4 linked regions of the Diceros bicornis minor genome follow. The protein of the gene in region 4 purifies or fractionates together with the protein of the main gene of each other region. This does not show direct contact. Links are inferred from orthologs where the notes say so. Each region holds a gene or a part of one and is shown on either strand. Other genes may lie near its edges.

What was found.
Region 1: the proteins of CTBP1 (region 4) and HDAC2 purify together in Homo sapiens (affinity purification with western blotting; 7 studies listed by BioGRID and IntAct, with this or other methods). This does not show direct contact. The link is inferred for Diceros bicornis minor from reciprocal best matches to the Homo sapiens genes CTBP1 and HDAC2.
Region 2: the proteins of CTBP1 (region 4) and CHD4 purify together in Homo sapiens (affinity purification with mass spectrometry; 3 studies listed by BioGRID and IntAct, with this or other methods). This does not show direct contact. The link is inferred for Diceros bicornis minor from reciprocal best matches to the Homo sapiens genes CTBP1 and CHD4.
Region 3: the proteins of CTBP1 (region 4) and ZNF516 purify together in Homo sapiens (co-immunoprecipitation; 4 studies listed by BioGRID and IntAct, counting the BioPlex papers as one, with this or other methods). This does not show direct contact. The link is inferred for Diceros bicornis minor from reciprocal best matches to the Homo sapiens genes CTBP1 and ZNF516.

Annotation. Positions count from the first base shown.
Region 1 is NC_080762.1:21,797,682-21,804,953, reverse strand, and holds the start of HDAC2 (histone deacetylase 2), read right to left. Parts: upstream 3,001-7,272; 5' UTR 2,860-3,000; coding exon 2,808-2,859; intron 1,901-2,807; exon of another isoform or gene 1,780-1,900; intron 1-1,779. UniProt on the Homo sapiens protein: Histone deacetylase that catalyzes the deacetylation of lysine residues on the N-terminal part of the core histones (H2A, H2B, H3 and H4).
Region 2 is NC_080756.1:55,089,667-55,097,447, reverse strand, and holds the start of CHD4 (chromodomain-helicase-DNA-binding protein 4), read right to left. Parts: upstream 3,008-7,781; 5' UTR 2,908-3,007; intron 2,063-2,907; 5' UTR 1,985-2,062; coding exon 1,885-1,984; intron 1-1,884. UniProt on the Homo sapiens protein: ATP-dependent chromatin-remodeling factor that binds and distorts nucleosomal DNA. Acts as a component of the histone deacetylase NuRD complex which participates in the remodeling of chromatin.
Region 3 is NC_080755.1:64,966,686-64,974,609, forward strand, and holds the start of ZNF516 (zinc finger protein 516), read right to left. Parts: upstream 3,005-7,924; 5' UTR 2,891-3,004; intron 2,676-2,890; exon of another isoform or gene 2,548-2,675; intron 2,197-2,547; exon of another isoform or gene 2,137-2,196; intron 1-2,136. UniProt on the Homo sapiens protein: Transcriptional regulator that binds to the promoter and activates the transcription of genes promoting brown adipose tissue (BAT) differentiation.
Region 4 is NC_080747.1:644,128-652,130, reverse strand, and holds the start of CTBP1 (C-terminal-binding protein 1), read left to right. Parts: upstream 1-4,990; 5' UTR 4,991-5,489; coding exon 5,490-5,529; intron 5,530-8,003. UniProt on the Homo sapiens protein: Corepressor targeting diverse transcription regulators such as GLIS2 or BCL6. Has dehydrogenase activity. Involved in controlling the equilibrium between tubular and stacked structures in the Golgi complex.

The sequences.
Region 1 (7,272 bases), on a different chromosome or scaffold from region 4:
CTTATCTTTCTTCCATCTACTTGCTTTACCAACAAGTTAAAACCAGTTAATTTAGGCTGGCAGATTATTCAGGCCCTATTTCTACCGATACTACCCACTCCCAATCCAGACCATGTTGTATACCTTCGAGTCATAGAACTCTTTGGTGCAGAAGCTGCTTTACTTGCATCCTCTTTCCTCACAATTAAAAAAAAAGCTTTTGGAATTAATTGTGCAGAGCTTAGCACACTATCATATACTAATAATTAGCATAACGATACCTATCAAATTTAATAATCTCTGCAGAATATTTTATTAGACTCCCCACAAAAATCCAAAGAATATTTCAAATGTAAGCAACGACAAATTCTATTCTAAAAATGAGTCAAGGAAGAGCCTTGGACAAAAGACAATCCAACCAGAGACTTCCCTACATTCAGTTCCACACCTGTTGCTGGCCACCAGGTGAAGCAGCTGAATGGTCGACTATAAAGTATTGATTAAGTCACAATCACGAGACTTAGATACTCCCACTCTACCTATCAAGCCTGCATCCCGCCATTGGGACCAGAGTTGGCTCCCATTCCCTCAACAAAGGCTCATCATAAATGAGCCAACGAACAAACAGCTGTTTATAAAACTGCCACTTAAGTGTACCCCCTGGTTCCACAGTTCAAGCCTGTGACAAGAAGGTACAAGCAGTTTACTCCACTAGAGCCTATCACTGTCAACAGCAACCAACAGCAGCAAGAAGAGCCTCAGTACCCCCAAACTATTTTTTTTTAATTTTTTATTGTGAAATTTTTGTTGTACATTATTGCTTGTCAGTCACCATACAAGTGCATCCCTCCACCCCTTGTGCCCACCCAACCCCCTAGCCCCTGGTAACCACCAAACAGTTCTATCTGTCCTGTGCTCCCCCCAACTTTTTAAAACCAGCCTTCTTTACCTCAAGCCCTGACAAGAACAAATCTCTAAACCTTAGAAACAACATAGTTTTAAAAAGTAACTTACACACATGGTTTACTTTTCAATTTGATCAGGGAATGCAAAGCAAGAGTTTTACCAGTGACCTAAAACATGCATGAATTCTCCAAGAATGAACTTTAAGAAACTTTAATAATTCATGTTAAAATTAAAACATACTCCCATCTCCACCCCTCCACAATGGCACAATTTCAAATCAATATGTATTACACACATACATGGTCCTCTCGAAACATATTTTTAAAATATGGCTGTTACTATTTAGTACTAGCTATCAAATATCAGACAACTTACTCGTTCTCTAAGATTTTAGATTTTTCCACAAATGACACAGGTGGTTATTTTATATAAACAGGCATTAGAAGATTCATCCTCGCTAACTGAAGAGATACGGGATGGCCATTTTCAAATTGAAGTCAGATTTATTCTCACCCAATCCTCTAAGGTCTTTTTACCTTTCTAAGATTTTGTGATTTATAGTACACCGAATGTAGCAAACAGCTTCCAAAATTTATATTGCTTCAGACAAATCAGATAGGACTTTCAGGTCATTTGAGCCTAGCTTCTTCGTTAAATTTTAGAATTCTTTTTTTGGAGAGTAACCTACTAGGAACTATTTACCAACTATTTACTATTGCCTATTTATTTATGAAATGTGTAAAACAGGTTACTACTCCGCTTAGTATAATTCAGACTAGCGCAGGAAACAGGTTTCAGAGATTTAATGTTACTGCCCAAACTTCAAATTAGAAGAACCCCTAAAATTAAATTACCTGACTTTTACAATTTACTGTACCGTGAGCTCAAGCTTACCTGATTATTTAGTACTTCTGCACTACTCCTCAAAGTTTTCCTACACCAGGACTCCCACCACCTAGAAACAGCTTTCACAAGCAAGATGCCCCTGCTCTCCTAAACCTCCAGAGCAGGGTGTATTTCCTGATCGAACAAAGAGCAACAAAGAAGTGGGTGGTAACCACCTCTCACAGAGGCAAGCCGGAACCCATCGAGTCTCGGATCCACAACACCAGCATTAACAGCTCCACGTTTCCCTACCACCGTCATGTTTCCCGCGAAGGCTGACTACCTCAAACTCGAAAACCCTGATTTTAATTGAGGAAGCGCAGCCTTTTCATTTGAATCCTGAGAAAAGTGGCGCTCAAAGAACCCGGCGAACAAAGGAGAGGGATGGAGCCCACGCACAACAGGGGTGTGAGTGTGCCCCAGGCCGGAGGGGGGCCTGCACCCTCGGGAACTGCTCTCCAGCACCGACCCGGGTCCAGTGGTCCGGGGCGAGGCTGGAGGCGGAGAAAGAAGATGCTCGGTCCAGCCGCAGACCGAGGGGAGGGGAGCACACAGGGATGGGGAGGGAAGGGGCTGCAGGGGCGGAGCTCTCGAGGCCGCAGGGCTTTGTGTGCAGGCTCGGCCGGGGTAGGTATTTTGACCCGGGGGAGGGGTCGGGTGCAAGAGGCCGCAGCAGGGCACCCCCAAACCTCCGCTCCCACGAGTGGCGGGCAGGAGAGGAGCCGGCGAGGGCCGTCCCCTTCGCCGCACCCACGAAGCCGGGGATGGCCGGCCACGTCCCAGAGGCGGCCACTTCGGAGCGGCAGACCGACCCGCCGGAGGAAGAAGGGCAGGACGGAGGAGTGGGGCGTCCCCTGGCTGCCGCCCGCACCTCCGCGGGTCTCCCGCTGCCGGCGTCGGGTCGGGAACGGGTGAAGATGCGGCCAGGCGTCGGTCCCTCCTCCTCCCCACCCCTCAGCACCGGCGCCCACTCGCGACGGCGGCCCCAGGCCCGGCGCCCCAGCCCTGCCGCCCCCTGGCCCGGCGCGGCCCCTCACCATCGTAGTAGTAGCAGACTTTCTTCTTGCCGCCTCCCTGACTGTACGCCATGGGCTCCCCGGCCACCGCCGCCCCCGGGCTCCGGCTCCTCCTCCTGCTGCTGCTGCGGCCGCCGCGGCTCGGCGGGGAGAGAACAGGGCTGGGGCGGAGGGGCGGGTGGCAGTCCTGCGGGGAAGGGCGAGCCGGTGGGAGGCGAGGAGGGGGCGCCGGGAGGGCTCGGTACCGCCCGGCCGAGGGGCCAAGAGCGCGGAGCGAGGGTTGGCAGCGGCGCCAACTCGCGACACTGGGGAGGGGGAGGGGGCAGCCCAACCACCTCCGGAGGCCGAGGGGAGGTGGGACGCGTCCACTGTGGCCCCCACGGGGGAGGGAGGGACACGACTAGAGAAATAGGCCTCCTCAGTCTTGGCATAAGAGGCCTTCAATGATGAACAGCTTGCAGAGGGCAGTGCCAAGTAGGGTCGTAAAACGAGAAAAAAGGACAGGCTTTCGCTCCGTATTTACATAAAGAGAGCATGGAGCCTGGTGAACGCTCCCCCCTCCGGATCTTCACACAGTGGTTGCGCCTATCCCGAGCGTGCGCAGTCCGCGCCTCCCCAACCGTAGCCTTGGCTGCGGAGACCCCCTCTGCGTCGTCGCACGCCGCTCCCCTCCCCCACTGTCGCGAAGCTCCCGCCCGAGCGGACCACGTGCCGCGAGCCGGGCGGAGAAAGACCCCTCTAGAGCCCCTTGTGGTTGCCACGAGCCGGCTAGTCCGTAGTCCAGTGACCCTGTGCCGGGTCTCCTTGGTTTTCACGTTTATTCATTTGTTCTTTGATTTTTTTTTACTGATAATTGCTCCGAGGTTCTGACCTGGTAGAAGGACCTGTTAACAGATTAAAAAGTAGAGTGTACTGTCTGGGTTTGAATGAGCGTTTAAAGAATGCAATTTGTGTGTAAGGCACGGTTCTAAGTATTTGCATTTACAACATGTTTCATTGATACCTATTTATAGTAGATAACCTGTAACTCAGTATAGACTTCCAACAACACTGGGGTGTAAGTATTATTTCTATTCCTTCTTTATAAATGGGGGAGATTAAGGAATTTAGTTCTCTCAACTGGTGATGGTCTGGGATTTGAATAATTCATTCTTTCCCGACAATTCACACACGCTAGCTACTCCACTGTGCTGCTGATGCTGGCTGGACATTGGAGCAGAAAGGGAAGAAAAAGGACTTGCAAAACTCATGGAAGTTATAAATAGCTGTGTCCCTGTGTTCAACAAGTCAACAAACATTTATCAAGCACCCACTGTAAACCAGCCATCTTGCGGGTGAGGGGTCGGGGGCGGACAGTCTGCAGTGTAGCACTTTTAGCCCACCTCTATCAGTTACAATTTCCCCCAAATATAACACATTTTCCCACACCCCCATCAAAAAAAAAAAAAAAAAAGTCCTTATTGAAACAGGAACCATTTAGAGACGCTACCAAAAATACCCTCTTTATTTTTGCTGTTTGACGTCAAAATTCCCAAGGTGTTCCTACTTAAAGCGGGAATTTTCCTGGACCTCCTCCCCCACCCCCCAAATTTAGAAAAAGTAATTCCAGGGTAGCCCAGCTTTTCCTCCCTCAAGTCTATATTTTTAACAAGCACCCCAGGTACCTGATACAGTTGGTACGGGAATCACAGTGTAAGAAACATTACACTTAGGTTAGAGGTAAAGTTAATTACATGATACTGACTTTCAAAGTTTTGCTCTATCAAGTCTAAAATCAACTTGTTAGTTTCTGAGAACAGAATAAGTTAATTTAGTAGAAACTAATGTTCTTCTCAGAGCCCACATAGTGAAGTCTGAAATGAGACTTCAGGAAACTTCCCTGACTCTACCCCCTCCCCCCAAGACTGTTTTCTGTGCTCCTCACATGGTGGTTGTGACTTCTACCCCTCTAGCTCAATACTTACCATGTTACAGTTGCCCACAACTTCTCTGAATGTTCTCATTAGAATAGAGTTTCAGGAGAGGAGGGACCATGTCTGTCTTGCACATAATTGTATCTCCAGTGCTTATGACTTGGGGCAAGTCTCTTAAACTTTTTTTGTCTGAATTGCCTCATCTCTAAAATGGGGCTGTATTACTCGGAGAGTAATTCCTCATATGAATATTGAGTAGCTCAAATAAGAAAATTAATATGGAATAGTATTTAAAAATTTTTTTATTGAGGTCATATTGGCTTATAACATTGTGTAAATTTCAGGTGTACATTATTGTATTTCAGTTTCTGTATAGGCTGCATTGTGTTCCCCACCAATAGTCTAGTTTCTTATCCATCATCATACTCATGTGCCCTTTTACTCCTTTGGCCCTCCCCCCACCCCCTTGCCCTCTGGTAACTGCTAATCTGTTCTCCTTATCTATGTGTTTGTTTATCTTCTACGTATGAGTGAAATCTTATGGTATTTGTCTTTCTCTCTCTGACTTGTTTTGCTTAGCATAATACCCTCAGGACCCATCCATGTTGTCACAAATGGCACAATTTTGTCTTTTTTTTATGGCTGAATAGTATTCAATATTCAATACAATACAATTCAATACAATAGTATTCAATATTCAATACAATACAATTCAATACAATACAACATTCAACAATAAAGATCTATGTGAATAGAAAGGATTATTATGATTACTGTATAATAATAGTAATAATAATTATTGTTTGTATCCATAGCACCTAGCCTTGAATTCATAAGAAGAACCCAGACATATATTTTGAATGGTTGAAGAACCTGTTACATTATTTATTATTTAATAATTTTAAGCCAATAGAAGCAAATTATTTTACCCTTAGAAACTGGCATTGGAGAAGGAGTTTAATCCAGTGGTAAGAGCAGGCCATGAGAATTATGTCCCTAAACACATATAATGAGCTTTAGATCATGAGAGCTAAACGTAGAATCAGTTATTGAAATCCATTGACAAAGCTCCAAACTTCATTTACTATATTCCAACTCATCTCTATCAAACATTTTTACCATTAGAAAAAAGAGAATTTTAGACAATATACAGTAGAAGAAAAGTTGAGAGCATGGTTCATTCACAAAATTCTAGAATTCGTGGTTCATTCATAGTACTTGAAGATTGTCTTTATTCTTAAACTATTTTTCTTTAGTTCCTTCTCTGTCTATAGGAATTTATTTTTCCAATCTTGAAGATGTTTAGTGCTTCGAGATTATTCAATGAAATGATCTGTTAAACATAAATGGATTATTTAGAGATAGGACTATTTAGAAACTGATTGCCTCAGTCTATGCTAAAAATTAAATCCTGCTATCAACTGCGGCAGATAGCTTAATTTTTAGTTGCTATAAAAGAATTATTTGCATAAGCTTGTTTCTGCTCTAAGGTGTTAAATTCTAGGTAGCAATTCCATAGGATAATACAGAATGTAGAAGAGTACAGTGACTAACGCTGGGGTGTTGTCACAAACTAAAACAGTCTCAAGCTGAATTCTGATCCTGGAAGCATGGTGCCTATTTTTACACAGTACTACAAGCTGTAACTCATAAATCAGAACAGTAGCACCAAACAATGAAAGATTATAGTCCTATTTGAACTGTGCATTTGTGTAATAAAATTTAAAATTGCCCATTTTCATTAAAAATATATTTTTGAATCATAGCTTATGTACTAAGTTACTCAGTTACATTAAACCCCTCAAGTAACCCCTGTTAGCTTGTTAATTGGTTAATGCTTTGCTCATGACCCACAAAACATGGTATTACTTTGATCCAATCTATTTACTTGCACAAATTTTCTAGTAAAACTCTACACCCACACTGTGTCTGGGAAAATTTACTTGCTATTGTCTCCTAACTACTCTATGTATATATCTTAATTCTTCCTCTTTCCTAGCTCAATTTTTTTTGACTTTCCTTCAAATCTGATAACCACTTCTCTCCACGGAGCACCAGAACTGTACAAATGGAGGTGGAGTATGCATGTTGGGACCATCAGATGAAAAATAAATGCTAAGGATGGTGGAGCAGGAAGATAGGGACCTGGGTCCTTGATGACCTCATTTATATCTGTACCAGACCTGGACTGTCTACCTCTGGACTTCTGGTTACATGCAGGGAAAAAACAAAACAAACACATTGGTTAAACCACTGTAGTCAGGATTTTGTTATATGCAGCTGAGTACCATCCTAACTCATGCAAAATATGCATTAGAAGTTAGTGACTTCTGGTAATTTCTACTAAGAAACTATAGGTTTCTGTTAGGAAACAACTCTCCATGGGTTTCTGAATATCTTGAGAGCCAAGGTACTGAATGCCTTTTGTTCCAAACAATCTATTCAAAGACCTTTGTACAGGGAACAGCTTTGGAAGATAGAGAAAATGACCCTGTCTGTAGCAAAGGGCACGCATGCATACTACCCATTATAAAAGATTCAGGTTCCCTAAATTCAGGGTTCCTCTCCTGTAG
Region 2 (7,781 bases), on a different chromosome or scaffold from region 4:
CTTGACAAAGCACCGTCAGCTTCCCCCCCACTCAGCCTAGGATCAGGCAGGGCACAAGAAAGCCCCTCCCATTCCCTTGGGAATGAACACCAGCCTGGATCTCACCAGCAAGAATCATTTTCTTAAGGGCTTCTCCCCAGCAATCCCCATGTCGCTCCCCCCAGTCAGCTACATCTCTTGGTTCTTCCTCTTCATCACCTCCATAAAAGCTGGAAGTGGAGACAAAGACAAATACATGGAGGCAAAGGGGACACCCTTCCATCCATATAACACCCCCAAACTTTTCAGGCAGATAATGTGCTCACCTGGCAAGTGGCAAACTGACTGAGGTATAGAGAAAGATTTGGGAAAGGGACAGGAATGGGGTGTGGCAGGTGGAAAAACTGGGTCACGCTACAGCTTGGGGCAGAGTTCACCCTGGGAGCCTGCACAGCTCCCAGTCAACACAGGGGCAGCCCCAGACCAAGGCGCCAATGGGAAGCCAAGATGTGGACCCAACATTGCCTGGACAGCAGTACTACTTCTCATGCTCCCCAGAGAAAAGATAGGATCACACCACCACTACCACCCCACCCCCACCTCAGGCCACAGCACAGAAATTGGCCACCTTGCCCCACAAAAAGATGAGAATCAAGCCTAAATTTCTTATCGAAAGAGTTGAAGACTGAGTAACAAGACTGACCCCTTTCCTAAGTAGCCTTAGATTGAAGTAAAGTCTTCTGACTCAGAAAACGCCAAATGTGGAAACATCTCTCCTAGATCAACTCAACTTGCCATTGGAGCTAAGGAGAGAGGAGCCAGAAGTGAAAGATGTTGGATGGGAAACAAAAGCAGGACCAGCAGGCTCCAGAATGAAAAAAAATATATAAGCAGAGAGGATGAAGAAATGGCATGTAGAAAAAATGAAGCTAGGAAAAAGTGTCAAGAAAACAAGTAGGTGACTTAGCCAGGGGCTCTGAGGAAGGACAGACAGACCAGAGCGAGACATCCACTTAGAAGCATGACATCAATCATCATTTGAGAACAGACAAGGGCTATTCCTATCAGGCAGGGTGTTATAACCATCTGGGTTTGGCCAGTCTAAGGAGCCACCCCAAAACACAGACAGCAAAACCCCCAACACACCTACACAACCACATCACACCACCAGGCCAAACCACAGGCTACCTGCACAGAGGCAGAAGCCTCTAGGAAAGAAAGCCAGGATTACATCCACTTGTTAGGGGAGGAGAGGTGCCAAGGGTGTCACCTGCCTGCCTTTGCCCCTCCTAGTCTATCCTTCAGGCTACTACATCCTACCCCTAGCCCCCAACATTTTCCCACTCAAAACATTCCAGCAATCTGCCTGGCTAAAAGCGCTCTAGATGCCAGCTGAGGAGCGCAATTCAAACTACACACAGTTGAAAAGGCACAGAAAACCAGTAACCGATCAGAAGCTAAAAATAATCAGATAGAGAGTAACCAGCACTCCCTCTTTCCTTTCCACAGCAGCAACCACAGGATGCTACTAGCACCGATGCCTGGCTGGCCTCCTCAAACCCCACCACCAACAACCATCACACAGCCTCCAGGGGTCCCAGATACCTGCATTTCTCCAAGGACCCACACAAGGTAATGCGTGCCAGCCCAGAGAGCTCCCTCAACTGGGAACTGCATAGGATTCCTTAAGACACACAGTGCAGCAAGCTTGCATCCCGATCTGCGGAGCTCAGGAGGCACATGGCTTCCACCCCCCACCCCCTCAAGAGCTCCGCAAAGGCAACCACTCCCTTCGGATGCCCTCCACCTTAGAATGCACAGAGAGAGAGAAACCCTACCTCACCAGAGTACTAGGGAGGGCCCAAATACCTCCTTCCTGTCCTGGGCCCCTGGGGAAGATGTTACCTGGGTGGGGTGGGGGCAGGCTGTTGTTCAAAAGTGCATCCATATCCTCCTCCTCACTGCCCGCCGAGCAGGGGGACGGGGAGCCCAGGCCCGACGCCATCCCCTTCCGCTCCCGGCCAGGGAATTGGCCCAGCTGCTCCTGCCTGCGGCCTGGGGCCCTCTACACTGGCCCGAGTCACTGCGCGGGGGAGGGGGGAAGAAAGAGAGAACAGTCAGTGACGCGCACTGTCCCCCTCCCCCATACCCCCCGCTCTTTCCGCCCACCACCACCCCGCCCCCCCCCCTCCGAGTAGGGCACCCGGGCCACTCAGGCTGAACTTAGTTCCACACTCCTCGGGGGCAGCCCGGAAGCCGGCTCCCCAGCTGGAGCCCCCAGATGAGCAAGAGCGACACCCCCGAGGGCAGGCTGGTGCAGGCAGGGGGCAGGAGAGAAGCCAGGCTGGACTGAGCAGGGTGTGACGGGGGGAGGGGGTCCGAGTGGCCGCAGCGCAGGGGTAGCCGGGGGAGGCGGCAGGCGGCGAGGCGCTCGGGGACACAAGGTCACTTGGGGGTGGGGGGGCGCCTCCGTTCGCCTGGGGAGGGGCCAGTCCCCAGACAGCGCAGCTCTCCAAAGGCTGTCCTCTGGGACAACTCAGGTTCTCCTGAGAAGCCGCGGGGACGAGGGGGCGTGGAGGCTCGGGCGCTCCGGGGGGCTGGAGGCAGGGACGCGGGGGGCGAGAGAGCTCCCACCAGGCAGGGGGCCGGGCCACGTGTCCCGGGGGGCAAGTGAGCAAAGGGCGAGGGGGCGGGCGCCGGGCACTGTGGGAGCCCGAGCCGAGGTGGGAGTCGCGGGGAGCCAGACTCCGGGTTAGGGCGGGGGCGGGGGGAGGGGGCGCCCTGCAGGGAAGGGAAGGATCGGCTCCTGCGGGCAGGGGGCGGTCCGTGGGTCGAGGGACGCCTGAGGAAGGGGTAGGTGGAGGGATGACCCTCGGGACTGGTCGGGCTGAGAGGGGCGTCTCTTTGGGAACCCCGCGCTCTCCTCACCCCGGAGCCGCCGCAGGTCGCGCTGGGTCCGGCCCGGTGTCACTCCCGCTCCGGCTCCTTCTCGCCGCGGCCGAAGGGGGGAAAATGGCTCCGGCTCCGGCGTCGCTTCTTAAAGGGCCCGAAACACCGGCCGGGAAATCCCACCGCACAGGCCCCGCCCCCCCACGGACAGCCCATAATAACCTCAACCAACTTCAACCCCCCCCTCCACTACCGCCACCCTCCTCCCTAGGTCTCCCGGGCAACCCCCGCCCCCTCGTCGCTCAGGCAACCATTGGCCACGCCCCCTTCGAGCGCGCGCGCGCGCGTCACCCGGGCAACCACCCACCTCCTGGCCATCCCATAATACACACGGACACCCCCTACACACTCCATACACAAGTATGCCAAGGCTGTTGACATCTCATAATATTGCAGACCTTTTGCAACTAACTCTTCCCCCCCCAGACATCCCATAATAGCCATCCTTTGCCAACTTCTTCACTCTTGGCCCCAATGCTAACATCCCATAATAATCCGTCACCTCTCCCTCCCCATGGCCATCCCATAATAAGCACCCCTCCCAGCACTTCGGCCTCACATCCCATAATACTCATCCCCATCCCCCATAGACATCCCATAATAACCACTCTTCATCCACCCCCAGTTTGATATCCCATAATAGTCAGAAACTCACCCCCCCACACACACACACACAACGACGGACACTTCGGCCTCCTCCCACACACATCCCGTAATAATCAGTCTCCCACTTTCTATACTGACATCCCATAGTAACCAACCCCCTGGAGCTGCCCTCAGCCCCTGCAGGCTAGGGTCTAGATGCTCACACCACCACCCTCAGCCTTCACACACTCATTCTAGCTCCACAGCCCATGATAACCACTCCTCCCCTATCAAAGAGATATCCCATAATGATCGGCAGCCCTACTGTGACCCTAGATGGACATCTAATCAACTTTCCTCTAACGCTGGAAAGATATCCAGTAATTTTACTCCCCCACCCACACCCTGACATCCCATAATAATTGCAGGGAGCCCATGATCAACCAGACATACCATAATACTCTCAGCACAACCCAGTGTTACATCCCATAATGCTTCATCTCCACTCCACCACCCTTATACCTTTCCAGCCAGGCATCCCATAATATTCATATTCATATCTCCCCCATCTCCAGATGCTGTCAGTCTATTCTAACTGACAGTGTGAAGCAGGCTACCCACACTGCCCTGTCCTTGCCCCAACTTGTACACACCTTCATCCCTTAGTGGGCCAAAGCAGTATCTTGGCATAAAGCCTCTTGATGTCTAGGATGGACCCTTGCTTCCCTCATCCCATCATTTCCAGAGACTTAGGAACTGAGAGTCAACCTTGGGCCCCACCCAATCCTGCCAAAGTCCAGATATTCTCCAGATGCTTACCTCCAGCTCTTAAATTTTAAGTAAGACCAACCAAATACCATGCTGGCCAGATGAGCCACTTACATCAAGTTTACTTCATCCCAGAACATCCCATAATAATTACAAACTCCCATCTAAAGACTATTTCTCAACATTCCAGCAGTCCTCTTTCCACCCACCCCCTCCTCCCCAGGTCAGGTGGTCCTTTCATCAGTACCCCTAGGCCACTCCCATGGATGGACATCCCATCATGATAGGAACTGAGGATCTTGCTATATACACACTAAGAGCCAAGACCTGCCCTCCCTCTTCTTTGCTACTCATGGTCATTCAACAGATGTTGACAGAGTACCTAGCAAGGCACAGAGCTGGGCACCATAGGGAATGCAAGCACCATAGGTACCTCCCTTCAAGAAGCATAAACAACCAAACCAACCATGAGATAGAATGTCTGGTGTCAAGGAAGAATAACTGAGTGCTATTTCCCAATTTTCTGTTATAGAGAATAAAACAAATCCCAACTGGTCTCAGGAGAGATCAGATCCCAGTAGAGGTTCTTGGTGGTTCTTCCAGAGGCTGGAAGGTATTCCAAAAGGATTTACAAGATAGATGGATGGTCAAGATAATCCCCTATCTGTTCCCTACATACTAAGGGATTTTGATCGGAAAGCAATGTTCATCCAGCGTTTCTAATACTTAAATCCTATAGTATCATCATGTGCTTCCTTCTTGAGACTCACCAACATGCCAGAATTGTTATCCTCATTCTTAAACACCAAATTCTGCTTACCCTCAATGTTCTATATTTTTCTCCCACTTTGTTATTCCTGAAGTCTCATGATAATTCCAACTGCCCCCATCCTCATCTTGCTGAGGCACCACTCTACAACGCCCAAAAAACCCTTCATTGTATAATGTTCACCATCTTCCCCTCCCCATGTACAAGTCAACATTCCAGGATGTCTTCTTCATTCAATTATGCCACAAGGTAGCCTCTCAACATATACCATCCCCTTCCCTAACTGCGCCTACCCTGCAGCCGCCCTGGGGACCCAGCCTCAGAAAGTCAGAGAGCCCAATCTTCAAACCTTTTGGCCCTCAGAGAACCTGAGTCCATAAGCCTGACATTTTTCCCTCTTCCTGACCCCCAAAGAAACAGGACCTGAGTGAAAACCAATGTTCCAACACCGCCGCCTTTCTGCATCCTCCCCCACACACAGCCCCCAAGCCAGAGATAATGTCTTCCTCTGCTCTCATGTGCCTTTTCCACACAAGTCCAAGACCTATGGCGTTGGGACAGGTTGAGGAGAAACCAGAACTTCCTCCTAGGAGGGGCCCTTCCCGACCAGAAGTGAGTAGGACGAACCTCACACCATCTCTACATTGCCCTCCTAATCTCACTTCCCTAGAGAAAGAGCCTGGCCAGATGATTCTCCCCTCCTCTGGGAACCAAAGGACTGGAGAACTGGCAAGGAGAAATGAGTTCAGGAAAGACAAGAGTTTGCTTCAGGAAATCACCATCCCTTTGCTTCCAAGCAGAGCACCAGTGATGCTGATAAGTCTTTCCACCAGCTCCTACCTGACTTAATTCCCTAGACCACCCTTTTGCCACATCCATTGTGGCATGCAGGCCACTTCCCCCAGTAAATTCTCTTGACATAAAATCGGTCCCCATTCACTTGTGCAAACCCTCCCCCATGCTTATTCTGAGTACTAAGAATGAACTTTGTGCTCCTCACTTGGGGCAGAGGGGGCAGCTCTTTTAAGATACCACGATGTGGGTATATCTCATTTCAAGAAGCTTCTCTTTGGTATATAGAGCTGCCAGATACCTATTACACCCTTCTCTCTCCCCATTTCTTTAGGGGATCCAGCCTGCCTCTGGGCCTCATATTCCCTTCTATAATATCTCCATCTGCCCCATAGCCTTCTCTTCTCATATATATACACCACATTACTACACTGATTCATGATATAAACCAGGAAGAGAGTTTTAAAACTGGGTAGTCACAGCCTATTGCCTGTGATTACAAACACTGGTAACTTCTGTCCACCCCAGCCCTCTGCCCTATCCCTGCAAGTTCTACCCACTCACTCCCTTGCTCCTCTTATCCCCCTCCTCTCCCTGATACCATCACAGGGAGAAGGTTAAAGTCCTTTCCTCTCTTCTTGAGTTCCAGAGAGGGCTAGCATCTGTGTGTTTGTGTGTTGCTTTTGTGGTCTTTATGCTTCTAGGCTCCCCCTCCCTACCCTGGCCCCATACTACTCTCCCAGATCAATTATAAATAAACCACTAGCATGATTGGTCCACAGAGACTAAGGGTGGGATAATCTCCTGATTAATGCACCCAGGGGGACAACCTCTCTAGCCAGTTACCTTAGAGTTCTGTTTCCATCCCATGGTACAGAAGAACCTAGAATAACACTCAGAGTGGTTTGTCCAGGGAGTTTTCAGCACGTGCTCTATAGTTCCTCTGTCTCCATCTCCAGTCTGTGTGAGCCCCAGAAACTCTGCTCATAGGATGTCTAAGGACCAGCATTCTCTTGCTCTGTCAGAAAAGGGGGTTTGGGAAGACAACCTAGAGCAGAAAAGCCACCGTGACAGTGCACTCTGATGGCTAAACAGGATGCAGGTCATACAGGGCTTGTGGAGTGACCAGACAGGCCTTTGTCCTTCAGGAGCCAACCAAATCTCAGTTCCTTCGGTGTGACTATAAGGTGGCAAAACTCCCCAGGCCCAAGCCCGCCACCAGAGCCATGGTACCAAGGCTCAAATCCAAGAAGGTGAAGAGGGAAGAGAGTATTTGGGTGCTGTGATCACCCAGAAGCCCTGCTCCCTTTGGTGTGCACACAGCCAAAACCCAGGTGTTCTCACTGCCAGCCCAACACTGCAGGCCCTGGACTCAGCAACCCTGTGCTCACAAGCTGTGGAAGGACCCAGGGTTCAGATTTGGCTAGCTCTGGCCTGCCCTAGGGCCCCTTCAAACAGCTGTCGCTGAAGAACGTCTCCAGCCAGTTACTCTTGCCAGGCCTCAGGTCTGGCTCTAGGGCTCACCCCACCCTCCCCGGCTCCTTCCCTCCCTCTTCCTTCCTTTCCTTCCCATTCCCTCCCCCACCAGAGCTTCACCTACCCGGGACAGCCCCACCCAGCTGTGCAGGGCACATCCCATAATAATTCTCCTCCTTGTTAGCCCCCACCCCCCCCCAAAAAAGAGAGGCGGCCATCCCATAATAGCCACCCACAAGAGACATTCCGCGGTGACCGCCCCCTCCCTGCAGAGCTGCCGGGAGCAGCCATCCCATAATAGCTGGCCGCCTGTTTTACTGGTTAAGGCTGTGGAGGGAGCTGGAGAGGAAATGGAGGGGAGGGGGGAGGGGATGAGGACCAAGGGCCCCCACTTTTTAGAAGGGAGGGAGAAGGGGAAGGAGAGTGGCCCAAGGGGATAGGCAACCAAGGGGACTCCACGCAG
Region 3 (7,924 bases), on a different chromosome or scaffold from region 4:
CTCTGTATGTTTCGCGCCTGGCGAGTGGGCTCCGTCACCCGGATCCCAGGCGCGCCGCGTGGAAACGAGAAGGAAGGAACCGCGCATTTCGATTCCCCAATTGTTGAGAAGCACAATCACATCACTCCTCTTTTCTTCCCCTTCTGCAGGTTTCCACTTGAATCTGAAAGCGCCTCTTATGAGGACACTCGGAGGAGGCAAGGTCTCTATCGGGAGTGCTGCGTGCCCATCTAGCTGCAGACTCGGATAAAAGCGTGTCCACGTCTACAGCACACAGCTGTGCAAATCAGAAGCCTGCGGATGCGCGGCGCTGGTCGGACTTAGTGTGCAGACACATGGGCGCATGCACGCGCGCGCGCGCACACACAAACACACCCCCCAAATTACCTCCGGGATGGAGAAAGCCGCTGCGGATTGGCCGGCAGAACCGTCACTCACGCCCAGGGGGCAGGGAAACTCTGTGAGGCTGTTTCCTTCTTTTTTTCACCCCCCTCCCTACCGTTTCATTTAATGGTAAAACAACAGCAGAGCTCTGAAAGTTAGCCATCTGCGCGGAGAGAGTTTGCCTTCTTTAACGAGGGGGGCGTCAGACAATATCCACTTAGACATATTTTGTACTTCCACAATGGCTGAAAAGGGAAATTAGCAATCCGGGGTGGGGGCGGAGAGGAGCTCGGAGTAAGGAGGGAGGGGGCCATCCGGGAGGGTTGGACGCAGGGTGAAGAGTTGTTCTCAATACCCAAAAGGGACTTTGACCTTTCATTGATCTCGAAATTAAAAAATGTTTTTCACAGGTCAGATTATTAACAAACGCCTGTCCTAATTTATGAACTCATTATTTTAACTTTATTATTTAAGCATGCGCCAGCAATCGTGTTTCCTTAAGAAAGAACTGACCTAATTTTGGCTGGAGATAAACGATCATGTTAACAGATGTTAATCTTGTAATCTGTTTTTCCTGTAAGCACTTTACATACGCGGGTTTCAGACCTTAAAAATAACATCTTTTCCAAAAAGACCTGACGTCACAATTCACTCCCTGAAAAATCACTCCCCCTCTCCAGTTTTTTTCCTCTGCAATGATTTCAAAGACATTAAATCTTTTTCACTTTATAAATGCTGATTTGTTCTGCCTCAACTCCTACAGGCTTTTATTTGCATTTCAAATTCCACAGGTTACACCAGTCGCCTTTTCAAAAAAAATGTAAACCAACAATGCAGCTGCAAATGGCTTTTTGTGCATCTGGATTAAATAAGGCACAGAATGAATATATTTAAAAAGAGAGCTGAGCACGTTGATCTTTGCACACCCAGAGACCAAGTAATTCTTTATCAATAAGCCCAGCGGAATGAGAAATATACAGATACACAAGCCAGAAGCTCCCGGTCTGATCCCGGTCTGCTGCGGGGAGCTTATTAACGCTGATAATAAATGGGACTAATTTACAGACCCACATTTTTCGGGCAAAAGGCTAGGTCTCTCTGGTCCCTAATAGCAGGGGTCCATTGGCTTCCCAGCCCACCATGGCTGATTGTCACCGCACACCAATCTTCGTCTATAAACCGCTGTTTTAAATACCCAACTCGGCTGGCTTTTAACAAACTTATTCATACAAAGTTTCTTTAAAACTTGACGAGGCGGTTTAATCTAAATACTGATCATAACTACTCAGTATGTTAGTTCTCCCTGGAAATGGCAGACAACGCGCTTTTCCACCCCCACCCCCCAAACACACACACCCCACAGCATTCTTCTTTTCTTGTATATACCCGGGTATATACCGGGATCAATACCTCCCCCACCCCCACCCCAGCGAGGCTGGGCGCATCTCCAAGGAGTCCCTGCCACCCAGATCCCCTCTCCCCACCCCTCTCGGAGTCATTGCGAGAACCCTCGGCCCCCGCCCCCACCCCTGCCCTAACTTCCCTTCAGGCGCTCTCACTTCTTTAATGTTAGGGTCACTTATACGCTCCCAGCTGACAAGCATGCAGCCAGGGGAGGGGGGAGGAAAAACAACCCCCCCACGCAAACACGTCCCCGAGGCAGCAGCGCTCAGAGCCCACAGGCATCGATCCCATCAGCCAAACCCTTAATAATTGAAGCGGCTCCTCAGGGCCCGCAGCCCCATCACCCACCTTCATTAGCCGGAGCGTTTTACTTTAAAGTAAGGCAATTTGCTCTTTGTCTCCTAATGGATGGAGAGCACATCCGAGCTCCCCTCCTCCCGCGTCGCCTTTGACGAAGTGTACAAAGCCAGAGCCTCTTCCGCGCTCCCACCCCGGCCCCCACCCCGCCCCTCCACTGCGGTAAAAACCACCTCCCGGGCGCTAGCCTCGCCGCCCGAAGTTGCATGTTCCCTCTCCTGGAATTGCGGAGCGGAGCAACTACCAACAGGGAAAGCCAAGCCGCCCTCCCCGCGCCCTGGAGCCCCTCCTCAGCGCCCCCCACCCCCGCGGCGCACGCCCGGGTTTCTGACACTTCCAGGCCCGGGTCTCCGCGCCCCCGCCCCCCGCGGGCCCCGCAGCGCCCCCGACCCCGACCCCTACCTTGGCGGGGAGGCGGCGGGCCCAAGGAGGAGGACGCGCACGCCCCGCGCCTCTGAAGGTGAAGCCGAGCGCCCGAGGCGCGGAGCCGAGCGCTGCACTAGACCGACCGCGCCAGCTGCGCCCGGGCGCGGGGGACGCGCGAGGGCGCGCGGGGCCCGCCACGCGCCCGGCCCCCTCCCCGCGCCGCCCGCGCGCGCCCAGGACGCGCCAGCCCCGCGGGCACCCCGGCGCCGGCCCGGCTCGAGGGGCTGCACCGCGCGGAGAGGGGGCTGGGCCCCTGCGGCCGGGCGCAGGCCCCAGGCTTCCCCCAGCCCCGGAATGGTCTGCCCTGTAGGAAACGCACACGCTCCACTATTGTCTCATCAGCACAAAGTTCTGCCACACTGCGGGGAAAGTCTGGAGGCTCGCGATGACTCAGACGCAGATAATTCTTCCCCTCATAGCACTGAATCACGATCCCAGTGGCTAGTTGTCACCCCTTTTCTCAAGGACTAACGCTGCCGCAGATCCAGTTACGGGAAGCTGTTTACGCACACACACACGGATACACACACACGCACGCATCCATACGTGCAGACGTGTTGGAGATGCATTTTCAGCCGACTTAGGCACCTGAGCACTAAGCCTCGAATCCAGATTTCTACGTGGGTATCTTTCCGGGGGTCCCAGTTGGGTGTGCGTTGCAAATGGCTTAGGGTGTGCGTTTCACTAAACTTCCTGGTAAATGCGTTTGGGGGTATTCAGACGCAGAGTATCAATAAATTAAGTCCTGAATCAAGATCAAAGGGGTCCCCCTGGAGAGACTTTAGAACGAAGATTCTGCTGTAGAGCAATTTAAAAATGACTGTTGTTTTTATGTTTATTTTGATCCTTGAAAAGTTCAACTCTAATTTTTCTGTTTTTCAAACTTCATTTCTTCACCCCAGCTCCTCTCCGTGGGCCGTAGTTAGTTGCAATAAGTTGAGTCTGGGAATAGAAATCCCAATTTGACTCCAAGTAGCACCAATGGTACCCGGCAGGGGGTGGAGGTGGGGGGTTGCTGCAGAAAGGGAAGGGGCGGGGGTACGGGTTGGAGGAGAAGCGGGAGAGGAGAAGGAACCGGGAGGGTTAGAGGGAGGGGGAGCGCGCCCCTGAATCGGTGATGACGTAGACCGAGGGAGCCGTGGCCTGCGGAGGGTAACGCAGTCTTCTCCCACCGCACTTCTGGCCACATGGTTCTCCTCTCCTCCGGATAACTCCGCAGTGGAGATGGATTCCGTCCAAGACTCCGACGTAGCCCCGCTCGACAATCAGCGCTGCAGTCCAGGCGTTACCTTCCGCTGTGGCATTTTTCTCCGTGCCTAACGCTCGCTAACGTTCACTGCTGATGCAGCTCCGGGCCTCTCCAACTTATGGCATTTACAACAGAAACTCCTACAGAAGAGCTCAAGGGAGGAGCTTGTGCCTGCAAAGCTGGAGTCCCAGACACACGGGCCATTCTGCGTGTGTATGATGTGCGTGTGTGATGTATGTCTGTGTGCATGTGTGCGGTGTGTGTGTGTGTTTCGATGGAGGAAGGGGGGAGTAGAGAGACAGGGAGAAAGAGGGGTGAGCACCTTTGCAAGAAGAATCTGCGAATCATAAAACACATAACATGTAAGCTCCCTGTGATTAATGATCTGCACTAATTTGGATAGCAGGCATGGTAAAGGTCATTGACAATTGTTGCTGGTTTCAGCATGAATGCCTAAGTGGGATGTATTCTTGAACAATCAAATTTAAGTCTACTTCAGTGAAAAGGATTGATGTGCCCACAATTCATTACAATACACAGTAAAATTGCACAAATAAAAGTATCCCCCAATTCAACTAATTACATGAATATAAATGGCATATGTAGACATAGATTTATTATCACATATATAAGTATGCACCCACAAAGAGATTAAAATTTACATACTTGAAATTTTAATAGTTTTTTGTAGTATTTTGGAATGATTTGAGTGGATGATAAAAATCTACTACCTTCATCTGCATTCTTGGGTCCATTTAAGACTACAGTATCTCACTAATAACTTCCATGTGTTGAAAATTAACTTAGATCAACGAACAGTGAGCAAAACTTCCACACTCCGCATAAAGTTGTGATTTTCATGACTTGCCTCCTTTCTCTGGCCTGCTTATCATGTGATTTTACTCAGGGCTATGGCTGTTCTGAGATGATGTGCTTTAAAAGATTTCCTTTCTTCCATGTTTCTCCTACAATGCATGCAGAATCTGAGAACGTAATTTGAGAGATGGGCAAGGGTTACATTCTGGAAAATGGCAGCTTGAAAGTCAGCATGGTTTTATTACTGGTGAGAGCACCATTCATGACAGGAGAAATGTGTTTACATTATTTGTACCCAAAGTCACTGGTTGTTGTTGGTTTGTCGACTCACTATTATTAGCTTGCCCCAGGAAAAAAAAAAGGTATAAAAACAAAATATTTAATGAGGTCCCATACTATTCCCTTAGCATTGCCAGAATTTCAGTTGTTTGATATCTTCAAACATTGAAAGTAGACATTAAAGATTAAGGACTCTTTCTGCAGAAAATACTAATCCCTAAAATCCCCCAGGAGAGGTTCTCCTATTTTGAAATGTTTAGGTAAATTACAATATTTGGGTAGAAAATAGTCAGCAATATTAACAGATTAATGGTTGAATATATATGTGGCTATTTATAACAGACAATAATTCTGGCTAATGAAGTAGATTCAACGAGAAAATATATTTTCCCTAGTTATTGTCTAATGAATTATTTGTTCAGCATTTGGGACTCTGCTCCTTCAAAAGCTAAGGAAAATGGCATTTTAGTGAAACTGTTCAGTGGCTTGTCTGGACAACTTAGGCGACGCCTGATGGGTAGACATTTAGATAAGAAAGGTTCTGAGGGGTCGCATTATAGAATAGCTAAGACTAAAAAACAAACCAAAAGAACCCCCCAAAAAGGCCTCATCTGTCTGAAAGCTGGAAGTGAAACTCTCTGAACTATGGTATGAAATCCAAGACAAACTAAAAAATATTTATTAAATATGCATGCTTAAAAATGTAAGTGCACTACTTAGTAAATATTTCATATTAATTCTATCTCTTTGTGAATTTATTAGGATTTTCTGAATTATATCTGAGAAAGGAGAATGACATTATGCACCTAAATCTAGGGGCAATCTTTAGCTCTCTGAACAGGCTTAAATTGACATTTCAGAGTGGATTAGGGATGAATATGAATTAAATTGTCAATAAGTATTCCTAGGTAAAGACTCTCTTAGGACAGTATAGCTGCCCACTGCCTTCATATTGTTTGGAGCAGTAACCATTTCATGTGTAAATAGAAACTGGCTATTTATTTCATCACCAATGGTTTCGAAAGTATTACCCCAATCCTAACTTGCTTTTCTTTCCTAAAATCTTTCGTTTTCACAGAACGTGGAAACTCAGAGAATGCACTGTATTCAGATGCTGGAGGAAGGGACCTCGCAGGTCAGCATGAGTGTATCAGTACGGAATTTAACATATGGCTGCCGCTGGCCGACAGGAGACGAAGTTGGGATTATATTTTAAATAGTCTTCTACAAAATGGCTTCAGACCTCTTGAAGCTGAAGTCAACTAACAGAATATTTTTAATCTTTTTGTGGGAAACTCTCTCAGTTCTCTTTCTTAAATTTTAATTCTATTGAAGGTGATGCATACTCCAGGAATGAAATAGATAACATACATTTCTTATACACACACACACACACACACACAGGCACACTTCCTTCTAGTGTGATCTGGGCCCAGATAGTCCCGTGTTTACACTAAGATAGCTTCTTACTGGACAGCTTTCTCTCGTGCAGTCCTTTATCTGCAGGAGAACGTAGGCTCAAACTGGCTGTGCTTTAGGCTTATTTACTCATGGTTGAGACCTACATGTTGTTGGAAAGACTTTTGTGAATATTTCTTCTCTCTCCGTAGTAGCCAAGTCTGAAGACGCCTTCAGCAGATAGCCACACCTGAATTTTTAGATAGTTTAATAATCAGCAAAGCATCTCTTCAAGATTCTGTGCAAAATATACCCATATGTGTGACACAGAGAATGCCTGACTCATCTGTCCCCACAGCAGAAAACGTAACAACTTTCCCAGGGAATCAGCATTTTTAACAATCTGTCCTTGTTTTCTGCTCATAGGAAAACTTCATGATGACCCACAATACTATTCTTATCGCAAAGTAGATTTTCTTTTACTCATTGTTGGCATGCATATGCTTTGGTTAACAACAAAGACAGCATTAATAATGTTGGATCACAGAGTTAGTGCAGATTTGAAACTGAGACAAAAGTATTTTAGAGGATATACTAACAGTTTGAGGATGGCAGTCACATTTCTCACCATTTGCAGTTGTAGGTAACGACATCAGGCCTTCACAGCAGGTAGAGGGCCCTCAAATCTGTTCTTCGTTTCACTTTAAGTAAAAGACTTGGCAACAGCTGGCTGCAGAATAGCCGATACAGAATTCCACAGATGTGGTTCATAATGGTTTGAAGAATAAAAGGAAGTAGGCCATAGAGCAGAATTCATTTAGGGAAAGGCAAATTCAAGGGTCCCTCTTTTGAAAGATTTCCCACGTTGGGGAAGAGGGGGACTGTTTTTCTTATTATCTTTTTTATAATCCTACAGTATGTTAATCACTGAACAGATAGGTTGTGACCTATTAACACCCCACGTTCTTACAACAGCAAAACCATTGACTTTTTCTGCCCCCAAATCTCATTATGTTTCATCATGCATAACTGATTACATGTGCATGTTTATGCAAACTTTCCTAAGAGAACTGAAAATAAAATAAGGGAACCAGCCATATATCTCTTTCACTGTGGGTAGGCTACACACACTTGTAATGAAACTGGGCAGGGAAGAAATACTCAAAGACCTTTACATGAGGTCTCATTTGACACTGACATAATACAGTTTGAAGGAAAGTAGAATTTGGCATTTAGGACGTTTAATGGTGTTAGAAACAGAACAATAAAGAAAGAAGTGATCGGGATGTGGATGAGTAGTTGTCATAAGAGGTCAAGACGTTTTGTTGATGAGGAAGGCTAGGTACATTTTTTTTTGGTGACTTTTTCATTGTGGTAATATGTACATAACATAAAATTTACCATTTTAACCATTTTAAGTGTACAGTTCAATAGTGTCAAGTACATTCACAATATTGTACAACCATCACCACTATCCATCTCCAAAACTCTTATCATCCTGTAAGACTGAAACTCCATAACCATTAAACAACTCCCAATTTCCCCTCCCCCAGCCCCAGGCCACCACCCTTCTACTTTCTGTCTTTATGAATTTGACTGCTCTAGGGACTT
Region 4 (8,003 bases):
ACCCAACGACCTCATCTTAACTTGATCATCTGCAAAGACTGTCTCTCCAAATAAGGTCACATTCTGAGGTACTGGGGGTTAGCATGCCACCGTATGAATTTGGGGGGGACACAATTCAACCCTTAACACCCTCTATTACCCAAAACTCCGTGAATGACTCATCCTCTCCATGTGTTTGCTACACTTACCAAATGTGACCTGTCTCAGGAGGAGCTCCGGACTGGCAGGGACATTTTTTCTCCTGAATATCCAGGGGCACTTCCCTGAGCTAACTAGGGAACCTTACCACAACAGCGAGCTGGGTGCAGGGGGGCCCGACGCACCGAGGAATAAGACGCAGCCTTCAGTCAACATGCCTTCTTTCATCGAGTCCCAGCAAGCCTGCAGACGGGTGACCTTTTATCCACAACTTATGATCAAGGACCTGTGGGGGCGAAGTAATGAGGCAGATCTGTGAGCACCGGCCCAACCACTGCAGCCCTCCGCATCCCCCGGGGCTTTACAGCACTTCACAGTTTGCAACCCCCCACAGGTAGATGCTGTTCTCCCCTCTCCTGGCTGAGAACCGAGTCTCTTGAGAGCTATGAAGTGGGTGGCAGTCTTCAGTCTTTGGATGACAATACTGCAGGTACGTGCCCAATTTGGTTTCAAGGGCACCCGCCGGTGATTCTGGTATTCCACCATTTCTCACTGTGCGGACTGGCTGGCAGCCCAATGCTTCTCTTAGTACATCATCATAATTTCTAGGAGTTTTTACCATATATTTGTAGACTGTGATGTAATGCTGTGCTTTATCTCAGGCACGAACACTGAATATATCGACCAATAAGCTAAAGTCTTGGGTTGGGTATCGGGCACTGGGTGACACTGCGGTCGCCTCCCAGTCTCCATCAGGGTCAGAACTGCCCTCTGGCCAGGGATGGCAGTAGAGGCAGCATTCTTTCTGGTTGGCACCATGTGAAGTGAGTCAGAATGGAGGTCAGCCTCCTCCTGTGGCCAGCACGGGAAGCTCTCACAAATACTGAAGTTGAATTCGAGGCCATGGGCATGGAGCCCGTGAAGAAGCATTCATTCACCCAAAACGTCAGCAGCCCTTTGTGGATGTGGTTTTCCCCAGCGCTCAGATGTCCCACGGAGGCTGAGGCTGGCACTGCTCGACCCAGCGCCGGGGCCTGGCTTCCCCTCCCAGGAGACTCTCCAGCAGCTCCAGGGACAGTCCTGTCCTTTGCAGGCCAACCGGCATCGAGCGCCTCCTCTGTGCACAGGGCAGGCCCAGGCGCAGGGAAAGGGCGAGCTGGCCAACACAGACGCGCAGCTGATGGCATCGGCTCATCCCAGGCCAGAAGTTGGGAGGGACGGGGAAAGAGAGGCGGGCGGGCCGGCTGGAGAGTGGGTGCAGAGCTACGTCTGCAGAAAGCTGGGCTGCCTTCGTGGGCGATGCAGTCACCTATGGATCCCAGAATCGCAGCTCTCGTCAGGTGTGTGGGGAGCAGATAGAGGGTGTGACTGTAACCCAGTGTGGGAAGGCAGTGCTTGGGGACAGCAGGATGGGGGTAGGGCCAGATAAGAGCCATGAGAAAGCACTGACAAAGCCTGCGTGCTACAAGGCCTGCGCGGGGAGGCTGCAGAGAGTGGGGCTGAGGGAGATGCCGGATCTATCACCCACCTTCATCTTTCGCTCATTCTTAGTTGCACCTGTGAAATTCCCTGGAGCTCCGCTCCAGCTGCAAAATGAAATTGTGGGTGAAATGGATCCTAGAAAGAAATTTTAATTCTGGCCTGGGGTTGCCTGCTTCTAGGTAGCCCCACCCGTTGGAGTCCAGAGTCTGGTTCAGAGTCTGTTAGACACTGGGCCATCTGACAGCTCTCTCCCACTCAGCAAGGCCACGCCAGAGCTGCGGGTTCCTCCCCAGCACCCCGCCGGCCACCCGGGGGCTCCCCGCCAAGGTGGATCGAAGCCCGACTCCAGGGGCAGAGGATGGAGTGGCCGGGACTCCCTATGTCCCAGCACCCCTTCAGCTCAGTGGCAAGTCCTCCAGGCACCTGCAGCTGCGGCCGGCCTCTCCCACAACTGCTGGCCTCTCCTGGATTGCCAATGGGGTCCCCACCTTGTGCACCCCACCATCCATGTTGCTCCTTTGGCAGTGGGGAATAGAGCCCAAGCCCCCGACCCCGCAAGCCCGCTGTCCCTCGGGCCCTTCAGTCATTGCCCTGTGTCCGCTGCACCCACGTCAGGCCTCTGAGTTTGCTGCTCCCTTTTCTGTAATGTTCTTTTCCCAGATCTCTGCAGGCTGCCCCTTCCCCCATAAGGGCTCCATGCCTGTCCCCTCCACCACAACCCCGCTGGGCCCCACTGTCGGCCATCAGCCCCAGTGCTTGTGTGAGACCTCGAGGGTCTCCTCTCTGTGCAGCCCCATGCTGGATGGAGCGGCCAGCAGACTCTCAGGAGCACCCCGGCCTCAGTGGGGGTGGAAGTGGGAAGCCAGCAAGCATGCCTTGACGTCCAGAGAACCGTCAGCACCACTTTTATTCACCCAGAAGCTGGACGCCCAAGAGAGAGACGCGGCTCTCGGAGTGGCCCATGATGCACCCTCAAGAACCGCTGAGTGAGCCGAGAGCGAGTGTCTTGCAGCACCCGACGGAGCCGGAAGCATCACTCGTGTCCACTGACCACCGTTCCGTAAATCACACAGGTACCTGAACTATGTTTCGGAGTACTCAGAAAAACTAAAAGACAAAGCATCTTTCCTTGTCCACCGAGAGCAAAGTAAACTATTAACTTCTGGCTTAGAAACGTTCTCACATTCCTTAAGGAAAGATGCTGGGCTGCAGGGCAACACCTCTAGCAAGCTGGTGGGGAAGGCCTGGTCTCTTCCCCAAAGGAGAGCATATTCTGGTCTTTTCTGCTCAGGGCCGCCTTCTGCAGTTGGCAAAGTTGGGGTTTGCGTCAGCGGAGGGCAGGGCTGAGTTACTAGGAAGCACTTTGCGTCCAAACCTGGGTCTAGCTGAAGAGCACAGGGGTGGGGATCCTCCAGTCCTGTCCTTCGGGGGGAGTTCCTGGCAGGGGGGCGGCTTCACTAGGAGGTGACAGCTGACATGGGCCAGGCTGGGTGGGTGGCACTGTCCTAGGTGTCGGGGTCCACCCTGCGGGCTGCGGTGGAGACAGCCGGTTCAGGAATGAGCTTCTCATCTACCTGCCTCAGGCCCTTGTCTGCAGGCCAGTTCTCTGAAGGTGATTCAGGCTCTTCAGGGCCATGCACAAAGGTGTAGAGGGCTGAGGGAGAGTGGAGGGCATCAGGGTGGCATGACTGATCCCCAGGCCTTCTCCTGGAGGCGGGAGCCTGTGGTCTTGGTGCCTCTGGCCAGCCCTGAGGATTGAGGAGGCATGCATGGGACAGGCACGTTCAGAACAGTACATCAATTCTTCCCACACCTCCATTGAGCAGTTCCCATCTCAAATACATGGGGGTGGGGGAGTAGAGGCCCCTGACGCCAGGGAGCTGACAGTATAGCAGGAAGAAAGCCCAGATAGAAAGGTAACTGCTATACCAGGCATAAGGGTAAGGGGGAGAAGGTAGCCATGGGAAAAGCAGGGGAAGGCAGCATAAATCACATGTGCAAAGGCCCTGTGGCCACTGGGAAGAAGAGCCATGTGGCTGGAGCATGGCAGGCTGGGGGCGGGTGGCACCTGGCTGAAGAATGGAAGGGAGGTTAGAGGCAGATGGAGATGGGCCCAGGCCCAGAGCCTTCTGTGATAAGAAGCTTGGATTTCCTCTCTAGTGCAAGGAGAAACCTTAAAGGTTTTGAGCAGGGGACAATGGAATCTGATTTACAGTCTGGGGCCACTCCCAGGGACGAAGTGATGTGGGGGACCCTGGTTTGAGGGCTGTGAGGTGGAGGGGGCAGGTATCAAGGGGCACCCTGGGTCTCAGCGCTAGAGGTACCGAGAAGGCCAGGAGGAGCTGGAGGAGCTGGTCCAGGCCACGTCAGGGGGTCTGGTCCTGTACGATGTTAAATGAGTAAACCTCTGCCTGGGGGAACGAGCGGGAACGTGTGCGTGAGACACGCACCCTGCTCTGGAATTTTGCTCTTTCTTTTGCGACTGCTTTTGTGTCTGCATTTAGGAAAGTTCTCTGAGAAGTTTGCTAACTGCTCATTTACATCCTGTCTTCTCATTTTCCCTACATGTTCTAATTAATCCGATTTGGGAGGTATTTTCATAGGTGAGTACCAAGTGAGGGTTTAAAAGCATCAATTTTGCAAATAGCTACCCAGTTCCCTATCATCCTTTACTGAATCCACCTACACTTTCTCATCGGTTTATGAATTTTAAAAACATATAGATTACAGGATTGATTTCAGGATCGTCCACTATGTTCCAAGGAGCTGTACTGATAGTTTAGTGCTGTCCTGTTCTAATGACGTGCTTCTCCCTGAGAGGACGGCTATGGTGCCTGTCTTCCCCTTGGGGCCTGGCTAGCTCCCACCTTAGGGGAGCCGCCATGATCCTCGGGGCTGGGTCCCCTCTGGACTTCCGGAACTAAGCACAGGCTGCTCTCTCAGGGACTGGGGGTGGTGGCCAGAGGAGCCGGGCATGGACCCACACACCTGCCACCTCCCAGGGACCTCACCTGGGCTCAGGGGTGTCTCTGCTCTAACTACTCAGTGCTGGCTTCTGGCGCTTTGCTCACAGCCCACTGGGGAAGCTCGTCCCGGGGACTCCCGTCCAGGCCGCCTGGCCCAGATGCGCCCCCTGGAACCCAAGTGTAAGGCCAAGCTTTCCCAGAGAAACCCTCTGAGTTCCGACCTGTGGCCTCCCGCTACCCTGCGGCCGCCCGGAGCCGGAAGGCGGCGCGGGCTGAGCACCTGCAGCGCCTCCTGGCTTGGGCCCAAGGACATGTAAACCACTGGCACCCAGGAGCGTGCTCACGAGGCCTCTAGCCCGGTCTTGCGCCGCTGGCGCCCAGGAGGTGCGGGGCAGGTGCGTGTGTGGGGCAGGCTCGGCCCAGGGTGTGCGTGTGCGTGTGCGGGGCAGCTACGTGTGCAAATGCACGTGCCTGTGCAGGGCAAGTGCATGCGCGGGGCAAGTGCGTGTGCATGTGTGTGAACCGGGCAGGTACGTGTGCAGCTGTGTGTGCAGGGCAGGTGCGTGTGCTGCTGTGCGCGCGCGTGTACAGGCCAGGGGAGAGCCCCGTGGCCCCGGCGGGGCGGGCGGGCCCGGCCTGCAGCCGCCCGCCCGCGTGGTGCAGCGCGGCGCCCGCGCCTGGAACCAGGAGGCTGCTGGGCCGGAAGCCCCGCCCGCGCGCGCGCCCCTGTCCCCGCCCGCCCGGTGGAGCGGCTGCTGGCGCGGCGCGGCGCGGCTCGGCACGGCGGCGCACGGGCGCAGGCGAGCGGGCGGAGCAGCGGACGGCGCCCAGGCCGCCCCACGCGCCGGGCTCGCGGCGGAGCGCGCCGGACTGGTCGGGGCCCGCGGCCGCCCGCGCCTTTCAATGGGCAGCTCGCACTTGCTCAACAAGGGCCTGCCGCTTGGTAAGGCCGCGCGCGCGCACTTCCGGCCGCGGGCGGGGCGGGGCGGAGCCGGGGCGGGGCGGGCGCGCGGGCCCCCGGCTTTGTGTGCGAGTGCGCGTGCGCGCCGGCGTGCCCGCGCCCCCGGCCGGGGGCGGGGCCGAGCCGGGGGCGGGGCCGGGGCGGGGCCGCGGGAGTGCCGTGCGCGTGCGCGAGCTGCTGCGTGCGAGTGAGCGTGCGCCGGCGCCGCCGTCACGCCCGCCCCGCCCCCGCCGCCGCCCGCGCAGGTGACACAAAGGGGCGCCGGTCACCCGACCCTGCTGACCCCCGCCCCGGGGATCCCGCCTCCTAAGACCCCCAGTGTCCGCCCCGCTGGGACCCCGACCTCTCGGACCCATAGCCCTTCCCGGACCCCAGACTCTCAGACCCCCGGCCCCTGACCCCTGACTCGTGGACCCCCGAACCCCCGGAGCCGCGGACCCCAGTCCCTCGGACCCACAGCTCCTCCCAGCCTCTGATCCTTGACCCTCGGACCCCGGCATCCCACCCCGCCAGGACTCCGGAATCCCGGGTCTCGGCCGCCGCACTAGGTCACCTCCCTGTTCTCAGTGTCCCGTTACACGCTCCCGGGTACACTGCCGACCTGGCTCTGAGAGAAAGGACAGGATGCCGTGTCTCCTGGGCACGGTAACGTCCTGCCGGCGAGGACTGCAGGGCCAGTCACCTCCCTGCCCCACGGGAGCCCGCCGGGCCCTTCCCTCCCGGGTCCCCCCTCCCAGCGCCGGGTGATGCTGGGCCGCTCGGGCGGGGGCGGGGGGAGCAGCGGTGGGGCCGGGGGACGGAGGTTTTCCCTGAGGAGCGGGCAGGGTGGGCGCTGCTCCACCACTGGAATTTATTCAGGCTGTTTTATTGGCGCTTGTTCTTATCACAGGCTTTGTACTGGTATTTGAGGTTTTCACCCATTTTTTAAAAATGTATAAAATTACAACGTTCAGCTTGTGGGGGGCACCCTTCCCTCACTGGCTGGATGTCCTGGGCTCAGCCGTGCAGCTAGGGGTCTGCCTGGACTAGGCAGGTGGAGGTTGGGGGGCGGATCTCCCCTGTCTAGGCAGGTGGAGGTGGGGGAGGTCTGCCAGGTGGGGTGGGGTCTGCCCGGACTACGCAGGTGGTGGTGGGGGTCTGCCCCATCTAGGCAGGTGGAGCAGGGCCTGGGACAGCCACCCACACCGTTGAACTCAGCAAACCCTGTGCTGCGCTCCCTTCTCTGAGCCAGTCTGTTTCCTCAATAATTCAAGAGATCTGGACCCAATTCTGTTTGTCTCAAGGCACGGGTTTGTCCCCCTTGTGTTTTGAAAGATATCAGAACAAGGACCCTCACGGGCACTCTAAGCAGCACTGGGGACCAGCCTGTCTCCCCACTGGGGCCCTGAACCTGGACTGTCGGGGGCAGGCTGGGTTGGGGACACCCTTGGGTGGGTGTTGGTTAGATCGCCGGTTGGAAGATGCCTGCCATGGTGTAAGCTCCTTGGCAGAGCCCAACTCTCGGTGGCCATCTTGCACATTTTGCAGTTCCCGGTCAACATCCAGCTGCATGGGCCTCCTCCTGGGAGGGGCTGTTCCGGGGTCCGGCGGGGAGGGGCCATGTGGTCTGTCTGTCCTGTGGCAGCCTGGCTGGCTGAGGGCCCTCAGCTTCCTCCTCCCGCCCCTCCCCCAGCGCAGAGTTGCCTGTGGGAGGAGGAGCTGTAGCCGCACCTGAGGTTGGTGGCTAGAGCTTTCTCTGGCTGGGTCCCCAGCCTGGCCCCCTGCCCGCCTGCTGAGAAACGAGGGTGCCGCCCCGGGCATGCCCAGGAGGACAACTTTTAAGCCGGCGGTGTGTTGGAGAAGCCAGAACCTGGCCAGGGCCAGACCCTTTAATGCTGATCTTCTCTGAGACTGGTTGGGGCGGGGAGAAGTGGAGGCGGATGGCTTTTTTTCCGGGTACCCTGAACTGAGCAGTCACGGAGGTGAACCCCTTGCCTGCTCCTGCTTTTCTAGGCGGCTGCAAAGTCAGGTTTCTGTGGGGCCGAGAGTGGGGACCAGGCCGTCTGTGTGCGGAACCTTTCCTCTCCTTCTCAGGACCCACCATGCTCTTCGTCTGTAAGATGAAGAGCAGCTTCGTCTGTATAAGACGTACAGAGGAGCTCTCAGCAGAAAGCTGGCCCCAGCAGCATGGGCACTGAGGGTGCCTGCAGCTAGTGCAGAGCCGCCCGTGGGAGTCAGTGCAGCCCCTGCACTCTTGTGTGGGGCGGCATCTCCGTAGAGGAGTGACCACAGCCGGCCAGAGCACAGACCTGAGCCCGTTCCCAGGGGAATCCCAGCGGGTGATCTGGGGCTCCTCGTGTGGCTTCTCCATGCATGTCTGAGGTGGGGATGGCATCATGAAGCGGTATGGGATCACAGGAGTGAGCATGTGCTAAGTGTTGGCAGGGCCAGGGACATAGGGTGGGGGACAGGGACAG